2 linked regions of the Cricetulus griseus genome follow. The protein of the gene in region 1 interacts with the protein of each later gene in a biochemical or structural test. Links are inferred from orthologs where the notes say so. Each region holds a gene or a part of one and is shown on either strand. Other genes may lie near its edges.

Region 1 (10,624 bases):
AGTGATTCATGACAACACACATGGAAGTCATCAAAGACTTGGTGCCCAGAGCTTTTACTGGCAATAGGTCATATAGGCACCTACCTAGCACAAGGCAAAATTCAAGATTCCCCACAACAGGCATTCAGCATAAGCCATATTGTTTCAGAAACAGTTTGGGAGTAGTGAGCCAATCTTAACAGTTTCTGGTGGGAGCCCTCTCTAAGTTGCAGTTCATAGGTGCCAGCCAAGGGCCAACATTGCAAGCAGGCCTTTGCAAGGATAGCAAGCAATTCAGGCTTGCTAGGTTAACTCTTGTGCATGTGTCCGTGCGCGTGCATGCGCGCGTGCGCGCGCGCGCACACACACACACACACACACACACACACACACACACACACACACCAAAAAACAAAAAAACAAAAACAAAAAAACAAACAAACAAAAAAACCCATAGAGCTAATGCTTTGGATGCAAGATGAATGAGGTGTGGATAGATTTAGATTTACTTAGTCCTGTTGTACGGGTTCTGCCCTACCAGGAAAAGTATGCCAGTTCTCAGGGCTTTTGTGAATTAATCTGCTAGGCATAAGAGGCCATGGCTAAATTCCATGGGGATTTACCATGCGGATTCCACTGTACTTGAGATGGAGTTCAGGTTTCAGCTTCTGGTACATACTGCAAACTAGAACCAAAGATTTCAATGTATTTATTAGCCTCAGGGTGATGAGAGGCTATTTCCTTTCCTTCCTTCTTTCCTTCCTTCTTTCTTCCCTTCCTTCCTTTCCCTCCTTCCTTCCTTCCTTCCTCCCTTCATTCTTCCTCTCCCTCCTTTCTTCCTTTTTCTTTGTTGCAGATACATTTTCTTTTTATCACTTTTTTCCACCTCTCTTGATATATGGTCTTGCTTGTATAGCTCAGGCTAGCATTGAACTCTGTCCCCCTGCTTATGTCTCCTCAGTACTAGGATTACAATCCTGTGCCACCATGCCTGGCTCTAATGTAGAGCTTTAATGAAAAAAAAAAGTATTATTTGTTAATGTATTTGCTATTTTTACTATGTTATTTAGATCAATGGTGATTGGCTAATTCAGTTGGTAAGCCAGGAAATGGTGCTACTGAAGCAAGGCAGATGGTCAGCAAGTAGTGTCAGTTCATTCTATAGTCACTGGTGACACTAACTCAATGAGTGACTACAGATGGTATTGGCTACAGAAACCAGTCATGGGGGAGAGGTTGGGAACATGTAGACATTCTTGCAAATGGAAAGGCACTTTAACAGTGGGGGCCTTTTAAGGTGGCTGCTGTATAGTTAAAGGGGTTGCATTTGGCTCTTGGGCTGTTGTTTTCAGGAAAGATAGCACCATGCTCCCTTTTCTATGATTTGTGTCCCAGATATGCCAGTGTGCTTCTTTCCAGCAAAACTGAGCAGAATTGGAACCTGGGGAATGCTGATTTCAGCAAAAGAGTGGCTTGGCACACGAGCAGAAAGGAAAAACAAAACAAAACTGGCTTTTTCTTTTGGCACTGTGCAACCTGCTCCAGACCAGATGAGCAGGCTTAATCTAATGCCGGCTCTTTTCTCCCTTACCCCTCAGAGGTAAAGATTGTAGATCTTTCTGTTGGAGGCACACTCAAGGGAATGTCTGTAGATTTTATTTTATTTGATTTGATAAGAAGACACCTGAACAAGTGATAAGGGGGGAGGAATTCTGCATTTCAGCTTTTCTTGATGTTCTAACTAGTAACCATGAAGACATTTCTCTTAGAGAACAATGTGAAGATGACTCAGCAGTTAGGAGGTTGCCTGTTTTTACAACACAGGTAAATGAAGGGCAGATTAGCGTGTGATGTGTCTCTAGACAAAAGGGAATACTTGCATTTGAATTACTGTGTAATCATCACTGATATTGCTCAAGAAGGATTTATATTTCAATATGATTTGTACTAAATTTTATAAAAATAAAGTAACTTTTTATAGACTCAGAGTCTGCCTTTGTATCTTTCTTTATTGTGGCTTTGCCAAGAAAAGCAGCCTTTGTCCTGTAGAAATGTTGACATCCATTCATACTTGGTGGTGACAGTAATCTGCTCTTTGGCATTAACCATTCCTACTTTTTATATGGGAGATAACAATCAGCACACAGAAAATAGTTTGCCTAAAGAGGAAGAATATCTCTCTGATTTGCCACCTGTTTGAGCAGTTGCTGTCTCCCCTCCCCCCAAGCTTCAGGTATGCTAGGCAAGCACTCTACTTCGGAGCTATATCCTCGCCCCTCTTTTTTTGTGACAGGGCCTCACTTTGTAGTATAGGCTGGCCTGAAACTCACTATGTAGACTGCCTCCAAACTCAAAGTAATCCTACTGTCTCAGCCTCCCAAGTGCTGGGATTAGAGATGTAAGCTACCATACTCAGCTAGATTGAATTTCTATTATTTAGATCAGTCCTGGACACAGTAGGTCCTTAGTAAGCACACTGAAGTAATAGATAAGAGGACAAATGTGGCTTAGAGGACATCTCATCGGAAAACTGTGTGTTCAGTGATTAGGTCATTGGTGCTACCTCCTAGGTAAAGGGTATGACCTAGGGAGCAGGCCTTGGTTTGCTTGATTGTGTGTTCTATAGGTAGATAGGTTTTAGGACAGTGGAGCAGCCAACAGCTATAATGAGGCATTTACCTAGGATATTTAAATAAAATCAATGCCTTGCAAGTGATTAGAGATTTTCATCATTGAAACAGTAGTTTGGGAGTGAATAACCACTGGTTATTCAGTCCTTTGCTGACCGACCATCTTCTGAGGCTTTCCCACAGCAGAATGCCTTCTTTGCTCACAGTTAGAACCTTGGGGTTGTTAAATTTGGAAAGATGTTGAAAGCAGCTTGCCAAAAGGTTTTGTATGCAAGGAAGAGAAGGTGAATTAGGAAATGTTCCCAGTTTGTTTTATTCCTGAAACTTAAGCATTGAGGCAGACTGGAAAGGAAGATGGGAACTTATTTTTAAAATTCATGATTTGATGAGTCATCAGACTCCATTCATTTAATACTTGCATTGTAACACTATTAGAACAAGGGAGAGTAGGACAGTACACTCAGGACAACTTGAGTAAGCTTGGGCATAAGGTTTGCATTTTGTTTACTGTATATAGATTTATGGAACTCTTTCCAGCTATAGGTAGAAACAAGTGGAGTCTTCAGGATAGTGTTGCCATGTTGGGATTTACCAGCAGATGGCAACGTGTCCAGGTCTGATCATTAGGAAAGTGGCTTGGAACTCGAATCTGCTTCTATTCTTTCCAAAAATAAACATTACAAAATTAGCTGGCTGTGCCCGGAACATAACATAACAAAAAAAAAAAAAAAAAAAAAAACCCAGCAAGAGAGTCATTTCAGGCGTCTGTTTATCTTTCCCCTTTGTACCCTGTTCTAACGTCACCTTGAGCTCATGCATCTATTCAGGGATAATGATCCTTTCACGAACTGTTGTGGAATGACTTGGAAACATTATTAAGAGGCAACTGTTTCCTCTCCACATGCACTGTTTATTAGATTTGATTTCCACAAAATGGCCGAAGTCTCTTCCTACCGACACGGCTTGAAGCTCAGAAGTTTAAAGATAATTGTATAAAAGGAATAGCCATTTGACGTTTGCAGGCAGAATTGGAGAGATATATTGTGTCGTGATACTTCATTTCTTCAGGCAGAGAATTAGTCAGTCATAACACTGCATGGGTAGCTGCATGCCTCTACCCCATCGAAAAAGAAACCGGAAAACAACATTTGGGAACTCTTCAAAGAGATCCCTAATGCTGTTTACAGGACAGATGTATTTCTTCTCCCATCTCTTTTCACAACAAGCTTATTAACTTGCTGTGGAAAGCACCATGTTTTCTCAATTTGGCAAATAATACAGTTCATTTTGCCAAGGCAAAACAGCCTAAAAGCAATATTTATATCAAGAACTCCTGGCTTCATGTGGGCCCAGATCCTTTCTCCTCAGTCTTTTCTGGCCACCCCACCCCGCGGCTGCAGGCTGGGCTAGCAGGTGCCCCAGGTGAGTGGACCACCCCCAAACCTGTCTGTGTGCGGGTTTGCCTAACACTGTCAGGGCCCGTGCACCCGGGCTCGTGTGCAGCCATCAAAAGCATCTGACACCGGGAATCGAGTACATTCCCTTAAAGAATAAAAGTTTCAAGCGCAAGAGAGGCGGGGAATTCCCCGAAGACCCTCTAGACGTGAACTCCGGGATTATGGAATGGCTCGTCTGCTGTCCCGGGTGGAACCTACACTCTGGACTGCACCTCGAGGGGATACAGGGACAGCGAGGACAGCGGCTGGCGGCGGAGAGAGAAGCAGCTTCCTTCTGACCCGCAGAACTACTTTTCGCTCCCGCCATCCCCCTTGACAGCGTTGCGCGGAAGTATCCGCGCAAGTTTGGAGAGTCCGGGAAGCGGAGGGATCCCGGGTGAGGCGGCTTCCCGAAGTCCCAGGGAGAAGGGCCCAAAAAGTCGGCGGGGGAGGGGCCGGCTCGGCGCGCTCCAGCCGCGCCGGACCGAGGAGACAGAACCGGAACCGGAACCCCCGCGCGCGCCCGCAGTGGTCGCAAGGCCCGTCACCGCCGGCGGACCCCCTCTGTCGTGCGCGCTCCCGCCAGTGCTCCTGAGGACCCGGCGAGCGGCCCTCCGCGCGGAGCAGCAGCCGCCGCCGCCGCCGCCGCTTCTCGGGGGCCGGGCTTCCGGGCCGGGCCGGGCCGGGCCCTCCCGCTCCTCGCGGGAGCCGCCGCCTACCAGAGCGTCGGGGAGGAGCCGTCGTGCCACTGCGGAAGAAGCGCGGGGGCCTCCGAGGGATGGGGAGCTGCTGGCGGAGCTGAGACAGGGTCCCTGTCAGCGCGGCGGCCGGTGCCGGGTGGGGGCGGCGCGGAGCAGCTCGGGGCCCCGGCCCGGGGACATGGGGCGGTGCGATCCCGTCGCGGGACGGCGCGAGACGCGGCGGAGGCTGCGGCCACGAGCGGCCGGCAGCCCCAGATAGAGCGGGGACCCGAGGGCCGGGCTCCGCCGACTCGGGACAGGAGGCGACGCCCGTCCCGAGCCGATCCTACCATAGCCTCGGAGGGATCCGAGTTCCCGTCCCAAGCCTCGCGACTTCCCTCTGACGAAGTTTTTCCCCTCGTGCCTTGCTGAAGATCATTCCTAGTTCTAGAACTCGCCTGTGGCCGACTTGCTCGGTTTGTTTGGGGAGATAACTTGTTTTGCTTCAACCCGCATCCCCTTTCCTTGACCCCTTGCAATCGGATGTTCTAGATGACTGAATGGAGTTTTGAGTTGGACTTTTGTGTCCCTGCCGAAATTGAGCCTGATCCCAGAGCACTGGGGGTGGGGTGTGGAGGTGTTACTGTAAAATGCAAGTTGGATAAAAAGAAGACCTCTCGCCAAGGGCCCCAATGAGTGGCACACAGTCAACTATCACGGACAGGTGGGTATGAAGTTCCTCGGTCGCTAACCTTCCCTGTTTTTGGCCCCACGCTGCAGGGGAGTCGGTGATTGCCGACTTGCCTTCAGCTAGTGCAATTGACAGGCATAGGAAAGAAGGTTGTTTCGGAGCTGTGCAATTAGTCTAGGGTTGCTGCCAAGTTATCCGGTTGATTGAATTTGGAAATGCAGTTGTTTTTTTTGGGGGGGGCAGAAACTTTCCCCATATTCTCAGAGGAAATTAAGGAAAACCATAGCTGTGGTTTTCTGTCGGGTACATTAGGATTGTGTACTCATTTTGGAACCAGCGGAAGGTCATTTTGGGTGAAGGTCAGAGCCCGAGGTCGGTGGGTATTGGTGCATCATCAGGTTGATTCCTATCCCGTGGTAGTTCTAGACCCTTAATTTTAGGAGTTTATGTCTGTGAACTTACTTTTCATCCTGCTTCATGGTGATTTGTGAATCTGATCTCTTTCTATGTGACCTGCACAGTGTTTAATTATTAATTACCTAATTTTCCAGAATGTTGACACTACCAGTAAATCACGGGCTCTTGCTGGGGACAGTTTCCAGGAGCTAAAGGAAATGAGGGAAAACCATGGGGCCTGCTTCTAATTATTCTTTTTTGCATTTCATCTTCTAGATGCTCTCGAATTTAAAGCTGTAAACCCTAAGTCTGGTTTAGGCATGGCAGGTGGATCTTGTTTGTTAATCAGGGTTGCATGGCATTGTGTATAGAATATGTGGCCCTAGTGTAATTCTCTGACACTTAAAGAGTTCTTTTGAGTACTTTTCAGTGAAAGCAAGTTGGTTCCTTCAACATGTTTTATTTCTCAATTTAATTATGACATTGTATGTTACTTCCAAATTTTAACTTGCTGTTTTTTTTTAAGTTAGCCTTTAAATTGTTATTAAACAAACAAACAATTGAAGCAGAAGGCCAGAAGTCTATAATGCTCCTGCAGAAAGCCGTTTAATTTCCTAATAAGAGAGTCTCACCCAATTGTGAGACTCATCTGTTGATTTTTAAAGGATCCAAATTCCATTATCATACCATAACAGCTCCTCCAGAGACAGAACTTCCTTTTCCTGTTGATGCTTTTCAGTGTCACATGAGCGTTCACCTAAAAGATGCCCTTAAATATTTAAACTACTTATGTTTACCCTTTGTTTGTGTACTTTGCTAGGCAGGATTTTGTTTTCAGTTTTCCTGCAAATACACTTTACGTATATGTAGAGGTAGTTGTTTTGTGTCTTCTTGCCTCCCCATCCTTATTCCTTCTCCTTTCTTAGTGTTTTGTTTCTGACACCTCTGAGAAATCACTCACAGGTGTCCATATAATTGTTCTTCTGGTTCATTCAGTTCTTGTCCTTTCTACTGATGTAGTCCTGGTTTTCATTAAGATGCTTCGGAGTCTAATTTGTAGAAAAATACTTTAGAGTCACTGAATCATTGCATACAAAAGTCACACAGAAGCACCCATGTACTTTTTTTTTTTTTACCAGCTTTGCATCTCAGGGATTTTTGTTCTCTTTTTGGTATCTTGGAAATAAAACATTGGGTCATCTTTTTTATACTTAATTCTGCATATGAACAATAAACATTCAATTTGGTCTTTTTTGTTTGTTTGTTTGTTTGTTTTTGTCTTTGTTTTTTCGAGACCTGATTTCTCTGTGGCTTTGGAGGCAGTCCTGGAACTAGCTCTTGTAGACCAGGCTGGTCTCGAACTCACAGAGATCCACCTGCCTCTGCCTCCCAAGTGCTGGGACTAAAGGCATGCACCACCATCGCCCGGCCAAACATTCAGTTTTTAAAAAGTTTTATTTTTGTATTTTTACTTCTACAATGTGTGTGTGTTCATGGGTATGTACACTTGAGTGCAGGTGCCCTCAGAGACTAGAAGTGGCTTTAGGATTCCCTGGGTGATTGGGAGCTGTCTACCCTGGATGCTGGAGACCTGACTTGGGTCCTCTGCTCTTAACTGCTGAGCCATCTATCTCCCTAGCCCAATTTTTGTTTTGTTTTTGTGAGACAGATTGTTGCTGTATGTCAGTCAGTCCACCTGCTCAGCTTCTAGAGAGCTGGGACTGAAGAGATGGGCTACCTTCCTGCAGGGTTCTTGCTCTTAGATATTTGTGTGAGAACAGTGGATGCACATTCTATGAAATCATGTGTTGTATCCTTTTTTTTTTTTTTTTTTCTTTTCTGTTTTTTTCCCCCACCTTAGATAGGTTGTCTCTGTGCAGCTCTGGCTGTCAAGGAACTTGCTCTGTAGACCAGGCTGGCCTTGAACTCACAGAGTTCTGCTTGCTTCTGCTTCCCAACATACTTAAAGGCTTGTTGTATCAAACCACAGTGGAAAAAAAAGTTGATGCTGGTGAAGGGAAGCAGTCTAAATAATGTTAATGCTTTGTGGGGCTTAGGCCTAAATCTTCTCAGTGTAAACCTTTACTAGGTTGCTTTAGACAACTGAGCCATGTAAAATAAGATGATAGAAAGTTTATTTCAAAACTGATTGAAATCCTGTTCTTGGTCAGACACTGGGGGTTGACTTTTTTTTTCTTTCTTCAAAAAGAGAATTAATATGTGATAACTGCTTTTTTTTTTTCTTCTAAACTTATTCTGCAAATGTAAAGCAGCCCTTTCTCTTTAAGAGAGTAGTTCCTGGTTTGAATATATGTTGAGGTGAAATCTGGAAGTACTGGTTTAGTAATAAGTGTATGCCAGGGTGCCTTAGCAAAGTTCCTCATATAAAATCTAGCTCCCCCCCCTCAGCCTTCTGTATATCTTCTCTCACTGACTCCAGTGTTCAGAGACCCTTTCAAGTTTGAAGTACTGTATGTGGTATGGCTTTGTTCTGTAGAGTGTTCAGAGCCACCAGGCCAGCTGTATGAGTTGCAGTTCTTTCATTGTGGTGCTTCTGACTACAGAGTCTGTCTGTCCCTAGTTGAAGTCAGACTAGCTGGTTTTTGGGCGTTGTTCTGTTTTGCAGTTTGTGGCAGGCGACACATGGCTGAACAAGATAAGAAGGGTTTTATTCTTGTGTTAGGGACGTGCTGGGGCTGGGATGGAATTCAGCTATGTTTAGGCTCTGATTGGTCACTTAGGATACTCAGAACTCTGTTACATCCTGTTATTATTTTGCAGTTAAAGCCACACATTCATTTGTTCCGTTTTCTTTTATTTTTTATACTCCGGCACCCACTGACTTTTAAACCTTAAAACTTATAGTGTGTTTATAAAGGCTGCTGTTTTTATGTAATTTATCTGAAAACTTTTTCTTTTTTTTTAAATTAAGTATTTTACAGGCTCTTTCTAGTCCCTTGGCTTTGTAACTGCTGTGAGGTCAGAAGGCTGAAAAAGTGATAGAAATGTCTGATTGCCACTTTTCCATCTGCATCAATTGCTGTATTCAGCCCTAAAATAGCCTAATAATTTTCAGTGCTCCCTGGCTGGCTTCTATCTCAAGAGTGGAAGATACTGTAGTGATTGCTGTTTCATATAAGAAGTAGAGTGGAGAGAATTTTTTGTTTTTGTTTTTGTTTTTGTTTTCAGTGGATCCAGTGAATGATTATTTCAGGAGATTCTGTAACAGCAAGTCTTCAGGGTGGTACAGGTTGGAAAGTCAGCAGGGTCTTCCTTGAGATTCCTGGACTTTGTTCATTCTAGGGCTTACAGATCTTGCTGTTTTTGATTTGCAGATTGGCATAAGTTTTTGATGTGTTGGAATTTACTTAGCACTGAATTTAGCTTTAAAGGTTAACTTTTAAGCTTTTAAAGTGAACATGGAGACCTATACCTTTACATTAATATATAAAGTAGAGCTATCATTAATGTTTTTTTTTTTCTGTCAAAGTTGTCTTATAGTTCTAGTTAATAACAAAAGCAAGCAACCTACCCTCTTAGGGTTGTGTATTATTTTCAAGGTTGCATGAGTAAGATTTAATTATTTGTAACATTTTCTTATGAAATAAATCCATTTCAAATACAGACTTGAAATTGAGAATTAGGAGGCTCATACTGCCAGCTTTATACTATTTTGTCTTTTCTAAGTTCAGAATAAAGTCCTGAATAAGTCTGTAATATAACACATGTACTACTATAGTTTTACCAGTCAACATGGAGAATCCAAAGTAACTTTTTAAAAATTTGGCGTTATAATCTTCCTCATTAAAAGCACACTTATATTGTGTTTGTATTTGTTTAATGAGTTGACAAAGATGCTTATTTGAAATGATTAAAAAGTGTATTAGCCTGCTGATACCATTTCATACATAGTGATTTCTGGTTGTTAACATGTTAACATCGTAGATCATAGGCACAGCAGGATATCTTCATGGTTCTGTGTAGGTGATGGATGGATTGTATGCTGTGGTTGTCTGACAGCTATTAGAAATGCTGCTTAGTGGTTGGGGCTGTGGGTCAGTGACAGTGCTTGGAGCAAAGCAGGAGCAAACAGGTCTTACTACATAATTCTTTCCCAGAAATGGACTGGAATGATGTTTTCAGGAACGGGAGGCTTAACTTAATTTTGTCTCATCTGTTAAAATTTGGATTTGATGATTTAATTAACATGGAACTAAGATCCCTTCTCTTACTGAGGAATTTTCAGAAGTCACACAACCCTGTTGTCTCCTGTTGAATAAAATATTCTTTCATGTACAGTGATATCCTATGGTAGTATAATTTTTATAAAAAAGTGGGACAGTCAGACATGATTTTTCCTCCTGTGCTGCTAATGGTCCTAAAGGCCTCGTGTGCCAGGCAGACCTTCAGATTCAAGACTTCATAATCTGGATTTTGTAGATTCAAACTGTCCTTTTTGTTTTGTTTTGTTTTGTTTCTTTCTTGCTTGTTTATTTATTTTGTTTTTCGAGACAGGGTTTCTCTGTGTAGCTTTGGAGCCTGTCCCTCTGTAGACCAGGCTGGCCTTGAACCAAGAGGTCAACCTGCCTCTGTCTGCCTAGTGTTGGGATTAAAGGCTTGTGCCAACACTGCCTGACTTTTTTTTTTTTTTAAACCTTAAATTGTTTTCTTTTTACATATATTATTATTATTTTTTCTGTTTACCATTGTTTAGTAGCTTGCCAATCTCACCGAAAAAGAATAGGGTATTTTTTTCTCACAGGATGCTTTCTTCCTGGTCCCTTATCTGTGCTAACTTTAAATATCTCTAGA
Region 2 (3,959 bases), on another chromosome or scaffold:
TCAGCAGGCCCTAACAAGGATTCTGGGTGCTTTCTAGCCATCCATCACATTTCAGGAAGCCTGAGGAAGAGCTTGGCCAATTATCACTGGATGATAAACAACACACATTAAAACACCCTTCTCCTGCCACCCTTGTTCTGGACAAAGCATATTGTTCATGAAGACCCAGCCACAACCTGTTTCAGATGCCTACATGCTGCCCCAAGATGCAAGGCCATCGCTGCTACTTTGCATTTCGTAACTTCTATTAAATAACAAAAGTAGAGAAAGTGCATAGTTCAATAGGATGCCATAGTAAAATGGACTCCTTCCTAGTGCCTTCTAAACCATATTTAGTCCTTAAAGGCTAAAAATCCTCCCTGCCCCCAAACACCATCTAAACGCCTGGGTAGAAGTGAGCCAGAAACCTTTCGCCCAATCCAGTAAGTTCAAAGTTTGGAAAACAAAGGACAGGAGAGCCCAGATCTGTGTGTCGGCCCAGTCTGCGCCTTACTCTAGGCAGTAAACAGCTATAGTTCTATAAAGATCTGCTCGTACTCCATCGCAGACATTTCTTAAAAGAAGTTCAAGGGTTTGTTTATAGAAACAGCCTTTGTTAACTACCCCAGTGGTGGGGCCGCACGCCGTGCGCAGCCTCCATCATCTCCCCCTCGCTAACTCAAGACTCCGTCATGATTTTTCGAAGTTAATAGGCACCACCTGCATACATTCTGTAACCATTACTCATCAGCACGCCCTCACCTCCCCAGCCCCAGCTCGGAGACTGCATTTAAACTTTTAATTGTGTTCAAATTACTCTATCATCTCAAAACTACCAGTATGCCACACTGTTTTTCTCGAGAACAAACCCCCTCCAAACCACCTCCCTCCTCCTGACACTGTGGAGAGTGCTCACTCCCAGACACACACACACACACACACACACACACACACACACACACACACACACACACACACACACTCACTCCTACCCAACACCACCAAAACAAAAGCTATCAGATTGCAAGCGATAGCGAGCGTGGAGCGATACTGCTTATTAAGTATGTACAAAGGAAGTGCGGGGGGCGGGGGGGGGGGGCAGTGCAACACAACTCTGGCCACAACAAAACCAAGGCCAGAGCTCCGCGCTTGCAAAACAAAACAACCACTCCTCCACTACCACACTGACGCTGCCCAAACCAACGCACACGACACCTCTCCCCCGGGCTAGGAGTCCAGGTGTCCCCTCGGGTCGTGTGGCTGTGGATGCCCCTAAACCCGCGCTGAGAACACACGTGTGTGGAAAAGCACATCGGCTCTGCTCATGGGTTGATGTCCCGACCACGTTTTACTTAGACGCTTTTAGGAAGAAGGGGTGTCCAGGGCTGGGTAGAAACTTACAGACTGCCCAAGGACCCTCAAAGTTGGGGATCCAAGCCTCGCACCCCCGAAGGAGTCTGAAGAAGGTCCCAAGCTCACGCTTCCCTAGGGAAAGCCGGGGAATAAACCCTGAACCCCAGAGCCACACCGATGAGTCCCGAGTCACGAAGCCGTGGGGGACGAGGGGACTAGACGCCCATCGTATCATGTGAGATGATGCTAAAGGCCAAAAACCCTAGGGACCTTATGGGCCAAACAAGTTGGACGACAGGAGGCCATGCCGTGATGTTTGGAAACGTTTCCTGGGGCCGCGAGGCCTCCCCACCCCGCACCTCCCCCTCAAGGACAACTTGCACCCCGCAGGGCAGGAGGCTCCCGCTCGCCGCCACGGCGCACTCAGTCTACCCCATGAGCCACCGGTGAAGCCTCCAAAGGTGCTGTCACCGTGGTGCGCTGCGCGGGATGGGCGCTGGGTGTGGAGATGCCCGCGCGCAGGGGTGAGGAGAGACGAGGGTGGCAGGGACCCTGAACCCACCCAGACACCAACTTCCCCACCAAGTGCCCACGCGCGGGAGTGTCCCTGAAGAGCCGTGGAGCAAGTGCTGCCCACCCACCAGGCCGCGCGCGGGACAGCGCTCCCGGGACAGTGAAAGAGAAAGCCCTGAGGCCCTTCCTGAGCACGGATGCGCTGAGCCAGAGTCCGTGGGGGTCCCGAGCCTTAAGCTCCCCTCCTGCCTTCAGTGAGAGCCCCACCCTCCGCTCTCGAGCTCGGGAGTCCGACAGCTGCGCCCGTGGCAACTGGGTTTTCCCAAACAGGGCGCAGCCCCTCGGAGGAAAAGTTCCCGCAGTGGCCGCGGGCGGCGGGCAAATACTCACTTTCTCCACTCGTCGGCCACAGCGAGAGCGCGGCAGAGAGAAACACGAGCCCCCACAGTGAGGTCGGGGACCCTCCTCCGGAGCCAGACTTCATTCCTTTTATTTGGGACGCAATTCCCTTCTCTCAAAAGAAAAAGAAAAAGAAAAAAGAAAAGAAAAGTCTCCAACTCAGTCCTCACTCTCCTTCAAAAACAAGAGCGCAGGCGACGATTCTCGGAAGGCGGCGTGGACGGGGAGGGTGGCGCGGGGCGGCCCCTTCAGCGCCGGCAGCAGCGGCCCACGGCGCGGCGGAGTCGGGAAGCCGGGGCGCGCCGGGGCGGGCTGTCGGCGTCGTCGGCCTCCATTTGCAAACCCAGAGATGCAGAAGAGGGGGAAAAACTGTACGGAGAGAGGAGCAAAGCCCAAATCGCCACAGGCGAGGACAAACGTCCCCAGATGCCCGGAGGGAGCAACCGGCCAAGCCTCCGCGGCGGGAGAGCGCGACGCAGTTGGCGAGACTGGTCCGAAGTCCCGGGCGCGGGCGAGGTCGGCGAGGGGCAGATATGCGGAGTGGAAATGAATGAGCGGCTCCCCCTCCTCGGGCTCCTCCTCCTCCTCTGGGCTCCGCTCGCCGCCGCCTCCTCCTCCTCCCTCAGCGCCGCCGCCGCCGCGAGCTCCTTCCCAAATCCAGGACACACACACACAAAGCGGCGGCCGTGCAGCGCTCTGAGCTCCCGCCGCCCCACGTCGGCCCCCGCCCGCCGCCGACTCCGTGCGCGGGGGCTCCGGCTCGCTGAAGGTCAAAGCCGAGCGCGCCGCGCGCCGTGGAGCTCTCGCAGGCGCGGGAGAGGCGTGGAGGGTCCGAGGAGAGGGGCCGAGGGGCTGCGAGCACCAAGCGCGCCGGGACAGGCTCGCTGGCGGCTTCCCTGTCGCTGGCCTCTCTCGAGTTCGCCCGGTGCGCTCCCTCCTCCTCGGTTCCCCCCTCCCCCGCTTTTTTTTTTTTTTCCGCTCAGCGGAGTTAATGCTGGTAAACAAGAACCTCAGCCTCACCGCGCCGCCGCCGCCACACACTGGGGGCTCTACGCGCGCGCTCTCGGGGCCGCGCACACGTGCCCGCGCGCACACTCCAAGCGTCCACAGCCGCAGTCCCGGCGCGCCGAGGGCCGGGCCCCGACTCGGCAGGCGCCAAGAGCCGGAGTTCGGGATCGCAGGGACGTGCGGAGCGGAGCGCGGGCGTGGGGAGCCGGGCTAGGGAGGCACCGCCCCCCGCGCCTCCACCCGCGCTGGCCCCCGCGCGCACACAGAGCCACGCGCGCGCCCACGCTTCCGCCCCCACCCGCACTGCGCCGGCCAGCCCTGTACGCACCCACCCCTCCCGCAGGACTCCAAAAAACAATGCCCCGGGCGCCGGTGGGACTCGGTGGCCCGGGAGGTGGCAGGGCGGGCGGACGAGCAGGCGGGCTGCGGGCGCGGTGGGCGGGGAGTGCGGCCCCGAGCTTCATTGAAAACAACAACAGCGCGGCTGGAGAGCGCGCTGGCCCGCTCTGTGAAAAAGCTTCATTGTTTCTTGCAGCTGTTGCAAAATAAATAAATAAGTGCATGCATGCAGCATTTTTTCGCAGCGTGGTGGAAAGCCCAGACGCGGCGGGAGGGGCACACCTGGGGAAAGGGGACCCCCGAAGATTGCTAAGCAGGGCACTTTCCACGCCAGGCTCGGGCGCCCGTGGCGGCGCTCCCCAGGTGTT

What was found. The genes of interacting proteins can lie anywhere in the genome.
Region 2: the proteins of Arhgef12 (region 1) and Igf1r form a complex in vitro, tested with the Homo sapiens proteins (2 studies listed by BioGRID and IntAct, with this or other methods). The link is inferred for Cricetulus griseus from reciprocal best matches to the Homo sapiens genes ARHGEF12 and IGF1R.

Annotation. Positions count from the first base shown.
Region 1 is NC_048597.1:154,790,371-154,800,994, reverse strand, and holds the start of Arhgef12 (rho guanine nucleotide exchange factor 12), read left to right. Parts: upstream 1-5,152; 5' UTR 5,153-5,417; coding exon 5,418-5,449; intron 5,450-10,624. UniProt on the Homo sapiens protein: May play a role in the regulation of RhoA GTPase by guanine nucleotide-binding alpha-12 (GNA12) and alpha-13 (GNA13). Acts as guanine nucleotide exchange factor (GEF) for RhoA GTPase and may act as GTPase-activating protein (GAP) for GNA12 and GNA13.
Region 2 is NC_048596.1:129,270,003-129,273,961, forward strand, and holds the start of Igf1r (insulin-like growth factor 1 receptor), read right to left. Parts: upstream 2,801-3,959; 5' UTR 2,330-2,800; coding exon 2,236-2,329; intron 1-2,235. UniProt on the Homo sapiens protein: Receptor tyrosine kinase which mediates actions of insulin-like growth factor 1 (IGF1). Binds IGF1 with high affinity and IGF2 and insulin (INS) with a lower affinity. The activated IGF1R is involved in cell growth and survival control.